Linked DNA regions of Mus musculus: regions 2 and 3 are each reported to be linked to region 1. Evidence: microRNA targets listed by miRTarBase, many of them from high-throughput screens and not tested one by one. Region 1 holds a microRNA gene; each other region holds the end of a gene's coding sequence.

Region 1 (4,000 bases):
CTTGGCGTTCCCCTGTACTGGGGCATATAAAGTTTACAAGTCCAAAGGGCCTCTCTTTCCAGTGGTGGCTGACTAGGCCATCTTTTGAGGTAGAGGTTTTACTACTTGAATTTACTACAGAATTTGCACTTGCCTGACAGACCAGCTTTAAAAACATCCTTACTGATGTCAGTGAGATGGCGTCCTGCAGCAGGAATTCCTGCAGCAGGAAGGTTCAGGTGACAGGGGCATTTAGGCACTTTACAGTTTGGCATTTTTGTTTTTTCCCCTCTCAGAATGGAAACTGAAAACCAAAAAACTATGGAAGAAAGCACTAAGAGAAAAGAAGAAAAAAAGAAGCGCTCCCGGGTTAAACAGGTGCTTGCAGATATTGCTAAGCAGGTGGACTTCTGGTTTGGAGATGCAAACCTTCACAAGGACAAGTTTCTGCGAGAGCAAATTGAAAAGTCTAGAGATGGATGTAAGTTTTTTGTCTTTGTTGGAATTTCCAACTCACATTTATATGGGGCCAGAGCCTCCTGAGAGCTCAGTACTGTATATGTTCATGACACACAACTGCATGTTGAACTCGTGCTTGTTTGCACACATGTATATATTCCAGTGTTTAACATCCCACTATCCTATTTACTAGATGTGGACATTTCTCTCCTGGTGTCTTTTAACAAAATGAAGAAGCTGACAACTGATGGGAAGCTAATAGCCAGAGCATTGAAAAGCTCATCTGTTGTAGAGGTAAAAAACTTACATTTCAAGTCACCCACATCCAATTAACTACTGACTTTATTTAGCTTTCCTTTTTTTTTCCCCCCTCATAAAGTTGGACTTAGAAGGGACCAGAATCAGGAGGAAAAAACCCCTAGGTGAGAGACCAAAGGACGAGGAGGAACGCACGGTATATGTGGTAAGAAATGACACAAATTTTAATTCTAGTTCATTTATTTATAATTCATTTATTGGTAAAAATGTAGGAACTTTAAAATGTTCATACCATGATTTATTACAGGAGTTGCTCCCCAAAAATGTTACTCATAGCTGGATTGAGAGAGTATTTGGGAAATGTGGCAATGTGGTTTACATAAGTATTCCACATTACAAGTCTACTGGGGATCCTAAGGGATTTGCCTTTGTGGAATTTGAAACAAAAGAGCAAGCAGCAAAAGCCATTGAGGTACGTACTTCTGTGGGACCCTGAAAAGTAAAGAAAAAGCACAGGGTTAACAAGAGTAACAAATTCTGCAATCAATCTTTTCAGTTTCTGAACAACCCACCAGAAGAAGCACCTAGAAAGCCTGGTATATTTCCCAAGACAGTGAAAAACAAGCCCATCCCTTCCTTACGAGTAGCAGGTGAGTGCTTACTTAGAGTGGCCAAGTAAACAATAAACTATTATGACTGTAAATAATAAAATCTTGTTACAGAAGAGAAGAAAAAGAAGAAAAAGAAAAAAGGCAGAATAAAGAAGGAAGAGAGTGTGCAGGCCAAAGAGTCGGCCGTGGACAGCAGCAGCTCGGGCGTGTGTAAAGCCACGAAGAGACCAAGGACGGCCTCTGAGGGCTCCGAAGCAGAAACCCCGGAAGCTCCAAAGCAACCTGCAAAGAAAAAGAAGAAGCGGGACAAGGTGGAAGCATCCAGCTTACCTGAAGCCAGGGCAGGGAAGAGGGAGAGGTGCAGCGCCGAGGACGAAGACTGCCTCCCCCCAAGGCCAAAAGCTAAGAAAAGGGCTCAGAAGGATGGCGTCGGCCAAGCAGCTTCCGAGGTCTCCAAGGAGAGCAGAGGTACCGTGGCAGTAGGGTTACAAATGTTTTAACCAGTTTAACCACAACAACGGACTTACGGAAATCTTTTTTCTAGACTTAGAATTCTGCTCTACTGAGGAGGAGAAGGAGACAGACAGAAAAGGTGACTCACTCTCAAAGGTGAAGAGGAAGCATAAGAAGAAACACAAGGAGAGACATAAGATGGGCGAGGAGGTTATACCATTGAGAGTGCTGTCCAAGTAAGTGGCCACTGACACAGGTCCATCACCATTGCTAAAGTGCAATTCCAATTTCTATTCAACAGAGTTGCATGTTAGCAACAGTGACGGCCTTGGTCTATCTATATGCAGCACAATGAAGATTAAGTAGGAGCCACCACACTCAAACATGGAAGCACTTATTTTTAAATGCACAGCAAGTGCCTCCATGTTAAAGTAAAGGAGGCCCCTTAAGCAGACTTGAGTGGTCTTTACAAAGGCATGAATATAAAGGAAAACATACCATCACCAAAACATGGAAGCACTTACTTTCTTAGGTCTAAAGCAAGTACAACCACGTTTAAGTGGTGGGAAGCCCAGTCAATAACTCCCTTAACCTACAGCATCTTAGAGAAAATGTTGAACAGTTTAAGACACCCCCACTGAAACATGGAAGCACTTGCTTTTGTTTAACACAGCAGGTAACCCCATGTTAAAGCAGAGGGGACTCCCATCAGACTCTGAATTAAAAGGCTAGCTTTCTTATTCCAGAGTTTCTTGAATTCACTTCTACTAAAACATGGAAGCACTTACTCTTCGATGAGACAGAAAGCATTCCCATGTTAAAGTTGAAGGGAACCCACCCACAAGGCAACTAGTTAAAACAGAAGAGCAAACCCACAGGAAAGTAAAGTGACCCGGTTACAGACATAAGCTTTACCTCCTTTACCTTCGTGACCGCCTCCCAAAGAGTCCTGTTCTGTCCTCGGAGGGTGAAAGACGCCGACTTTAGACCACTTGTATTTATACTACTCCTAACTCCTGAGTTCCTTTTGGCTTTCTATCTCTGAGAATCATTACAAGACCCTTTGTTATTTTAATGTATCAGCTCTGGGGAAAGTAGGTCCTGGGGACCTGGGTAGGTCTGGATTTTTTTTTTTTTTTTCCTTTTTTGAAGTAAACAGATGTCAATGTTAACTGCTAAAACCATTACCACAAGATATCCTCCTCTTTAAAAAAAATCTCCTATCTGCCCGTTTGATGGCACAGATTAGGGTAACAATGAGCGCTCCCACAGAGCCAGGAGATGCATTGTGCTTCTCTGGAGGAGCCCTAGCTGTTTGAAGATACATCTACATGTTAAATGTATGTAAATAAATAAATTGCTTCCATGGGGTGTTTTTTTCTTCTTAGAAATTCCTTTTGATTCAAGTAAATCCTAAGGAATGTTAGCTCTCAAATTGGAAGCAATTTGAGAAATCTTTAAGTTTTAGTCTCTTACTTTTTCTCCAGGTTGCCTGATTTAGTGATTTTACTTAATAGAAGTGACTCAAAAGTGATTTTACAATTAAATATTAGAAGCAACCAGGAAACTCAAGCATTTTCCTTGCCTGTTAAGACAAAGAAACTTCCTTTGTGTGTTTGCTAGGTAGCTTTAACAAATGGCTTAACAAATAATGTAAACATATGCCTTAAAAGAAAGAAAAGTCAGAAAGACTTGCAGTTCCTATGAACATTGTGTTTAGATCAACTTCAGATTTCTAGTTGGGTCGTCTTATCACTGTAATGGCTCAATTTTTGTTTTTCAGGACTGAATGGATGGATTTGAAGAAAGAGTATTTGGCACTGCAAAAAGCTAGCATGGCTTCTCTAAAAAAAACAATATCTCAAATCAAATTGGAATCAGAAATGGAAACAGACTGTAAAGCGCCTAGTAAGTGTGCAGTGGGGAACGGAGAGGGTGACGCTCATGTAATGGAAGAGTGGGCTTTAGTCTATGAATGGTTTCAGGGGCAGTTTTATTGCAGTGATAGAGTGGCTTCCTCAGTTTTAAGCTGAACCATTTCCAAAAACAAAATGTTTTAAGAAAAGTAAAAATGTGAAGTTTTGTATTACACACTAGGTTTTAATAGTCTGTTTATTCTTCTCTACTTACCTGCGAGCTCACTTGTGAGTGCCTGGAGAGAGAAATAAAGACTGCAGGCTTAGTGGATGATGTTCAGCAAGCAGGAGCATATTAGAGCACTACTCTCGTTCATTGTAATA
Region 2 (4,079 bases), not on the chromosome of region 1:
CCATGCTCGCACGTGGGCCACGTGTTTCCCAAGCGCGCGCCCTATGCTCGCCCCAACTTCCTACAGAATACCGCGCGGGCGGCCGAAGTGTGGATGGATGAATACAAAGAGCATTTCTATAACCGAAACCCCCCAGCTCGGAAAGAGGCCTATGGCGATCTTTCTGAAAGGAAGTTACTAAGGGAACGGCTGAAATGTAAGAGCTTCGACTGGTATCTGAAAAATGTGTTCTCTAACTTACACGTCCCCGAGGATAGACCTGGCTGGCACGGAGCCATCCGCAGCATGGGCATCTCTTCCGAGTGCTTAGATTATAACGCTCCCGACAACAACCCTACGGGGGCTAATCTTTCGTTGTTTGGATGCCACGGTCAAGGAGGCAATCAGTTCTTTGAATATACTTCAAACAAAGAAATCAGATTCAATTCCGTGACTGAATTATGTGCAGAGGTCCCCCAACAAAAGGATTATGTAGGGATGCAAAACTGCCCCAAAGACGGGCTCCCAGTTCCAGTGAACATCATTTGGCATTTTAAAGAAGACGGAACGATTTTTCACCCTCACACAAGACTGTGTCTTAGTGCTTACCGGACAGCCGAGGGCCGACCTAGTGTCCATATGAAAACGTGTGATGCCCTTGATAAAAACCAGCTCTGGAGGTTTGAGAAATAGGCTAGCAGCAGAGCGCCTTCTCTTCGGGAGCTGACAGTAGCCTCCGGAAAGTCACCGTGCCCCAAGATGACTGTATTTTACCAGAAGTCACCTGGCAGCTGTCTGTAAGAACACTGGAAAGCCGTGGTTCATCTGGGGATATCACTCTGAAGCTGGGTACACAGAGCACCGCTGCTCAATATCTCAAAGTGCCTTCTTTGCTCTCGGGTTGTTTTATTTAAAAGCTTTGTCAATATGGTCTCCTGCAACTCCTTAAAGAAAGCTGCTGTGAACTGAGATACACAAAACACTGAAGTATGGGTGTAGCTTAGCAGTAGAATGCTTAGCTAGCATGTGCAAGACCCTGAGTCTGACCCACAGCACCACAAACTACATGCAAGACTTAATATTTAGAACATAAAAGTCCAGACAAAATGGGGTATGATTCATTCTGATTTGTAAATTCATTGCATGTACTTTTCTTTCTTCTTTTCTTTTCTCTTCTTTTCTTTATCAAAACATGTGAATGTGTAATTAGAACTATTACTTTCTGATTACATTCTTTCAGCCAGCACATTACATTTTAGGTTTTTAAAAACCAACTTGTCTTTGGTAAAATAAAAGTTGAAGAAATTTGATCTTGAGGAAAAGGCCTGGGGTTGATATATGTTTCATTGGAAGAGGGTCCTGGTCTTGAATGCAAGTTTGGAGGTCTTATTTTATTTTATTTTATTTTGAGATAGATCTTAGGCATCCCAGGCTGACCTTGAACTCCTGAGTCTTGCTTCCACCTCTCAAGTACTGGGATTACAGGCGTGTGCCACCACAGGTGGTTTGGAGGTCTTTCTTGGCAGACAGGTATCTCAGAAAGATAGTGGGACATTCACCTTCAGTTCTCTGTAACCGGGAGCCGTTGGAGTGAACTGGCCCATATCTCAACACCTCACATCACCCCGCTCTGTAAGCTGCATTCTCTGTGAACTTGTTTGTGAGTAATGGGGCATTTTCTGATTGCACCTCCTTAGTTATGGATGTCCTAGAATGAAGCTCATTCAGAAGGCTGGGCCTCCCGTCCTTAATGTCTAATGGTTTGAAGTCAACACAAGTGAGACTTCCCCAAAGCCAACCCCAAATGCCTTTACCGAAATGTGTGAAACTGAAGTGGGCCAGCCCAGTTCTGCAGAGAGTGTTCAACTCCCCTCAGAGTGGGCGCTGACCTGGAAATGGAGAGGCTTCCTCTTTATTGCAGTGGGGGAAAGGCTGTCTTGGTCATTGTTGATTGGTGCCTTGGAGCTCCTGGAAAGCACAAGGCAGCCGGGCACCTGGGCAGCTCTTACCTTGTGTGAGCAGATGTCTCAGCGGAAGGGGTTGTTTCTCTTGTTTGGGCCTCAGTTTCCTCTTCTGTCTCGCTGAGTTGGTCGGTGAGGATCCCTAAAGGTCGATTGCACCTCCCTCTGGGGCCCTCACCTCTATGCAACTTGGAGAGAAGCACTTCTGTGTCTTTCCTTTTAACGTGGGTGGTGCTGAGTAGCTGGTCAGTTTCAGTTTGGAAGATGGAAAGGCAATTTTTATATTTACATGAGCTGAGCTCCCCTGAAGTGGTGAGTTTCTCCCAGGATATCATGAGAGCTAGTTTTCTACTCATTTTATTTTGACAACGGTTAGACTGATTGTGCTTTTTTAAAAAAAAGTTTTCAACTTTCAAAGCAATTCTTTTGACTAAGAGTATAAATATTTCCCAAACTAAATTATTTCAGAAGTACACGTTTTGCCATATTTTGACTAGTTCCCTACTAACGTTTTATCCAGACAGCACAGCCCAAATTTTGGGAGTGAGTCTCAGGTTTTTGACTTTGATTTGAAAATGCATGTTCCATAGAGAACCAGCCCACAGGACTTCATAGGAAAGTTGTTTTCAGGGTTCACTTGTCAGGATGGAGAGGGGGAAGACTCTGAGTTTCAGTAGCTTGTTTAGGGTGACCATTGAAAACATGAAGGTTTGTGTGTACTTGTGGCTGTTTTGTTTCTCACTGATTCTTAGAATGAAAATCTCTTACTACTTTTTTGTAAGTTACCTAGCATCCTTACAGTTTATGGACCACCCACCTGGCTAGAGATTCCATGAGCAATGGTTGGCCCTGGGTTTTATTTAAGGGAAATATACATAAATGCTCATTCAGGAGGAAATTCTCCAACATGCATTCTCACCTCGCCCCATCCTTTTGCTGTTCTGGCTAAGCCCCGTGTCTGTCGCATGAGAGAATTAAATGGATGCAATTGAGAAGGGACCATTGAAAATACTTTTACTTAGTATCTCTGTGCCCCTAGCCAAAGAGAGACGAGGCTTTTAAGACTAGAGTATTCCCTCCTGTGTTACCTGTCTCTCTATAGGTGCTTATGGCCCCTCGGTCCTTTTTAGGCTGGTAGATTATTTCTGTCTGTAATTCAGAAGAATATAACTCAGAATACTATACATAATGAAGTAAACTGGAGTTGTGTTTTTATATGCAGACATGGTCCAATTTCATTCCAAAAGCACACCATAGTGAAACATGCAAGAGACGCTTTCACTTATTTCCAGTTTTTGGCCAACCACCCAAGTTCTCCATTTTGCTGTAGAATTTACATGTTTAAATGTTAGGAAAATATTTGATGAGCAAGGAGTTTCCCATTCTATTGTTTACTTAATCAGTCCTGTGAATAGATTGGCTCTATGAGCATCTTAGCACTTGTTTTATTTTTAAAATGGTAACAGAGTCATCAGAAGGGTCTCTCTAACCGTAAACACCTTGTTTGTAAGGGAAAGTGTGTTTATTCAGCCAGTAAATAGTAGGCTCTTGCATGTGCATTGATGTTAGCAGATTGAAATATTCCAGGCAAAGGATTTGTTTTTAAGTTGTATACTCTCAGTTATTTTATTGTCTCAGTTTTAATGAATAAAATTTAGATTTGACTTGTCTTTTGGAATTGCTGTTTTAACAAGATTTCTGAATGGGCACAAAGCTGAGGTCTAGATTTCTGTCTTTTGAGCGGTGACTGTTTCTTTTTGTTAATGGTGTCTGTAATATTGGCGAAGACATGCAATAAAATGTATGCCTAATTATTTTTGCAAACCAATTCTGATGATTTTAGTCTATGGCATTAATGTTTCTATGTACACATTAATGGGTGTGTGCGTGCGTGTGTGTGTGTGTGTGTGTGTGTGTGTGTGTGTGTGTGTGCGTGTGTGTGTGTGTGTGATAGTTCTATAACTGTGATAGTTTTGCTTACCTGAAAGTTCAGGCAGGATATAAGTCGGGCTTCCTGCCTGACCATCAGCCCAGAAGGAAGTGGTGTTAGTGCTATTATGAATTACGAACAAACTGGAAATGATAAGAATCTCTGGAGCCCATTTTGTCCACTATTCAAGGAAACAAGTGGGTCCCTGG
Region 3 (4,079 bases), not on the chromosome of region 1:
TAATAGAGACACTATAGATTGCCTGAGCCAAACCCCTGATGGAAATGTGGATGTTAAAGGCATTTCTGGTGAGGGCACAAGAGGAAATGAATACTGTAGTGGGAACTGCAAGAAAGATTGTTGTTATATAGCAGCAAAACCAAACCAAACAACTTATCTGAATTGTCTCCTACAGTTTTATGGAAAGCTAATCTTGACCTTGTAAGGGACAAAGTTGAGGAACTTGGCAGGCCCTGTTGTAGGTATAGCTCGTTCATTTTTGCTGGGGAAAAGAAGTCTTAGGAGAATGGGGAGGAGAAGAGACGATACTAGAACATATGAGACATGCCAGTGAAATGGGATATACTAGGGGGACCATAGCAGTGGGTAGTGGTAGAGGCGAGGGCACATAAGGTGGGGAGAAGGACCATCATCATCATCACCATCACCATCACCATCATCATCATCATCAATGACAACAACAAGGCATGAAAAATGCCACAATGAAACTCATTATTTTTGTACTAAGTTTTTTAAAAGAGCCCGATAGGAGGAAGTGAAGAAAGAACCATTATATCAAGAAGGAATTAGCACTTGATTTGGTAAATTTTGTTAATAGTGAAAGATGATAAAATGAGGAAATTCTGTGTGAAGATAAATTTTGTTGTTGTTTTGTTTGTTTGTTTGTTTGTTTTTGTTTTGTTTTGTTTTGAGACAGGGTTTCTCTGTAGCCCTGGCTGTCCTGGAACTCTCTTTGTAGACCAGGCTGGCCTCGAACTCAGAAATCCGCCTGCCTCAGCCTCCCAAGTGCTGGGATTAAAGGCGTGCACCAAAAGGATGCGGCCTGCCAGCTTTTGAATAGTGGTGAAAAGATCAGGCACACATTTCTGGATTCATTCAACTATCTCAAGTACAGTGCTAAGCTATCTAGGAAAGAACCTAGATGTTAGCTTGCATGAAAGAAGGGTCATAGAGATATCATAAAGTTCAGCGTGTGTGGTGAGAGGATTATCCTGTCTTCAGATGGCGGTCTCTAAATGCCACCATCAACATCTTTACAGGACAGGCTGAGAGAGATCAGGTGCACAGAGAAGATGATATAAAAAGGAGTAGAGAAAAATGTGGCCATAAGCCACACAATACCGTTGGCCATCAAAAAATGGACAAATCACAGAAGGGGCCTCTGTTGTAGCCTCTGGAGGTAGCATGAATGGTCTGATGTCCAGATGTCAAACTTCTGGCCTCCAGGACCATGGGACAATAAATTGTTGTGGTCTTAAACTACAAGATTGATGGTCAATCATTACAGTAGCCAAAGGAAAATATTCTAAACAGTTAACTTGTTTTGTAATATGCTGAAGAAAAAGCTGTAGAAAGGGCATTTTTCATGTGTGGCAGATATAAACAAAAATACATAAAATACTTCAGCCTAATTTGGTTTTCTTTTAAAAAAATGCCACTATGTACTTTTGTTTTCAGATGATACCTTTCGACCGAAAACAAAAAATGCAAGTGACCAGAACAGGACCATTATAAGTCACATGAGTTAATTCTGTGTCTGTCCCCTGAAAGGTTTTCTAATATTTGTGAAAAGCATGTGGAATGCATTTAAATACAAATATATAATTTATCAATAATAGTACTTCATTCATTCTTGTTTACAAACTAGAAAATAAGGCAAGTTCACATCTGGAAAAGGTGACATACCTCAGTATTTCAACCTTGACCAGTTAGAAAATATGGCAGGGCAAATGCCCTAAATTTCAGTCAACGTTTACATTTCAAGATTAATTTTTTTTTACAGCCCGAAAAGCTATAAAAACAAAAACAAAAAACCTCAAATAAGCCATACCACAATATTTCAGAAAATACTTTGTAAAATTGAAAATGCATACAGTAGTTATTTACATTAATTAGTAGAACCTAAACTTCATGGTTATTGTTTTAAAAGTGTGTGAAAGTGGTATGTTCTAAAGTGTGTGTGTGTTCACATAAGAAAAAAAGGAAAAAACTCAGACATTGTTACGTTCTGATTTTTCTACTTATAGTAGCTTCAGAGTATTTTGAAGTATCATACCTAAGTAAGAACGAGTGAAAGGCAACCATGTAAATTACTTTATATCTGTAGAAAGAGTCGATGAGCTACTGGACACTTGTTTACTTTGTCTCAGAAGGTGGCTTGTCAAGCCAGTTATTTGTTCTTTTCTCTAAATGTCTATAATGTGCTTTGGCAGAATAGAAATAGAATTATCTACATAAGAAATATACATACAAGCAATCTTTTACAGCAATCACAATCATCTGCATGAATTAGTCTTGAAATTACACTCCAGAGAAGTCACACCAATTATTACAAATGCACATTGTAGGAGAATAGACAAGTTAAGTATAACTTCTGCTCTCTCACATATTTAAAACAATGCCGAGCTTCTTTACCTGTTAGCGTTGTTTTGGCAGTATCACTGAAATGCGTTAATAATATAAGGTAAGTAAGTATGATGATGACAGAGAGTTGGGTATGGGTTATTTCAGTAAGAGATACACACACACACACACAAACACACACACACACACACACACACACACACACACACACACACACATACATATACACATGCTGGGGAGGGACATAGGGAAAGGTAGGGAGGGAAGGAGGGACAGGGGAGGGAGGGAAAGGAAGGAATGGAGGGAGGGAGAGGAAGAGAGTGAAGTAGGGAAGGAGGGAGGAAGGAAGAGAGGGAGGGTAAAAGGGAGGGCAGGAGGGAGAGAGAATTGCTTTTTCACTACCAGAGTGGAGTGGGAAAAGGGGTAGAACTAGAGACCAACCAATTGAACTTTCAAAAGTTTCCTACTGCCTCCTGCATTAAAATGTCACTTTCCCCCTCTACACTCTTCTGCAGTTCTGTTCCCTACCTCTAAGGGGGTGAAGGGAGAATGAAGTAATGGAAGAAGTAGAAATCAATATTTTCCTCTAAAATCTAAATAAAGGCAAGAGAATTTCAGGCTCATCCCTAGCATATACATGAAAAAGTCTACACTTTTCTCAAAAATAGTTATATAAAAAATTTCTATAAGTCTGTGGAGACTTCTTAAATACATTTTAAATAAGAGTGAAATCTAGTGGATTCTGTTAAACTTTGGTTTATTTTAGCAATGCTAAGTGCCCGTGACCCTGTACTGCAACATTAGAGTAATGGTAAGGTTAATTTCTGCCACATGGAAGAATCCATTAGCTTTCACTTGAGATGGGTTCTAAATACCTTGAGTTGGGCTTCTCTTTCTGAGTGTGATATTTGCTCCTTTACAATCATTAATGCGCCTATTCTCCTAGACTTTACACTATATACATAAGATGAGCTGAAACTAGACAATAGAAATTCTTCCTGTCTATCTCTCCCCTGCCCTTTGTCTCTTTGTGGGGTATGGGGTGGGTAGGTCTGACCTAGAATTTCAGTTTTAAATTATTTGACAGACTGGAATGTTGGTAGAAGCCTTAGGATTCTTCCATGGTTTTTGTTTTTTTTTTTTACTTTGATCTTCACAATCAGGTCCTTACACACAATGACAAGTTATGTGCATCTTTAGAGAGGAACAAATGTTTCCTAATCATGACATCTGAGTTCAGATTAGTGTACTTGCAGTAACTACCAATACACTTCCCTTCCCCCAGATCAGCTTGACCTTTGTGGAAATGCATTTCTTTCCACTCCAACTCTTAAGTGTATATTTGTTCCTTTCAAAATGGATGGTTTTGTTTTCTTAAATGTCTCCATTCTCCCCGGCCTCGGGAATCACTTGGATGACATGGCTCCATTGTGGCGAGAGCGAGATCTTTCCAGAGGGGGCCGTCTGTTATCTGTAAGACAAAGAGAAGAAGACAGAAAAAAAAAAAAGGTGAGCTTTAGATCCTGACTATTTCACAGTGTCAGGTTGAGAGAGGTTTCCAAACAGTCTTGAAAAATCACTTCAAATGAATATGGAAATAAGCTGCAAAGAGCCCGGATCTGAGGCGTTTACACAGCAGCTGCCAGGCTGGGTTCAAGAGTTCTGCAATCAGCAATAAATGACTTTTCTTGGTAAGCAGAGGCAGAGTGACAAAA

The links. Region 1 holds the annotated microRNA mmu-miR-302d-3p (UAAGUGCUUCCAUGUUUGAGUGU, at 2,135-2,157, opposite strand). A microRNA usually pairs through its seed, bases 2 to 8, with sites in the 3' UTR of a target mRNA and lowers its output. Matches are read on the target gene's strand: a 7mer-m8 pairs with bases 2 to 8, a 7mer-A1 pairs with bases 2 to 7 and ends in A, and an 8mer does both.
Region 2: miRTarBase lists Galnt4 as a target of mmu-miR-302d-3p. Seed matches in the 3' UTR shown: 7mer-m8 at 2,139-2,145 and 7mer-m8 at 3,376-3,382.
Region 3: miRTarBase lists Diaph2 as a target of mmu-miR-302d-3p. Seed matches in the 3' UTR shown: 7mer-A1 at 3,137-3,143 and 7mer-m8 at 785-791.

The regions. Positions count from the first base shown.
Region 1 is chr3:127,543,822-127,547,821 of GRCm38, reverse strand. Mir302d (microRNA 302d) reads right to left here and starts at 2,198; the gene lies at 2,133-2,198. Larp7 (La ribonucleoprotein domain family, member 7) reads left to right here. Exons shown (of 13, transcript NM_138593.2): 2 at 276-460; 3 at 632-732; 4 at 818-901; 5 at 1,004-1,168; 6 at 1,253-1,346; 7 at 1,419-1,775; 8 at 1,852-1,996; 9 at 3,544-3,668. The coding sequence starts at 277. Gm51018 (predicted gene, 51018) reads right to left here and starts at 2,733. Exons shown (of 2, transcript NR_146435.1): 1 at 2,676-2,733; 2 at 919-1,188. Mir302b (microRNA 302b) reads right to left here and starts at 2,594; the gene lies at 2,521-2,594. It also overlaps Mir302c, Mir302a and Mir367.
Region 2 is chr10:99,109,480-99,113,558 of GRCm38, forward strand. It overlaps Galnt4 (polypeptide N-acetylgalactosaminyltransferase 4), which reads left to right. Exons shown (of 1, transcript NM_015737.4): 1 at 1-3,768. The coding sequence ends at 672. All of the region lies in intron 2 of Poc1b (POC1 centriolar protein B), which reads left to right. Among named protein-coding and RNA genes, the nearest start is that of Galnt4, 3.4 kb to the left of the region's middle.
Region 3 is chrX:130,460,627-130,464,705 of GRCm38, reverse strand. It overlaps Diaph2 (diaphanous related formin 2), which reads right to left. Exons shown (of 27, transcript NM_172493.2): 27 at 1-3,835. The coding sequence ends at 3,771. Among named protein-coding and RNA genes, the nearest start is that of Gm25170, 450 kb to the left of the region's middle.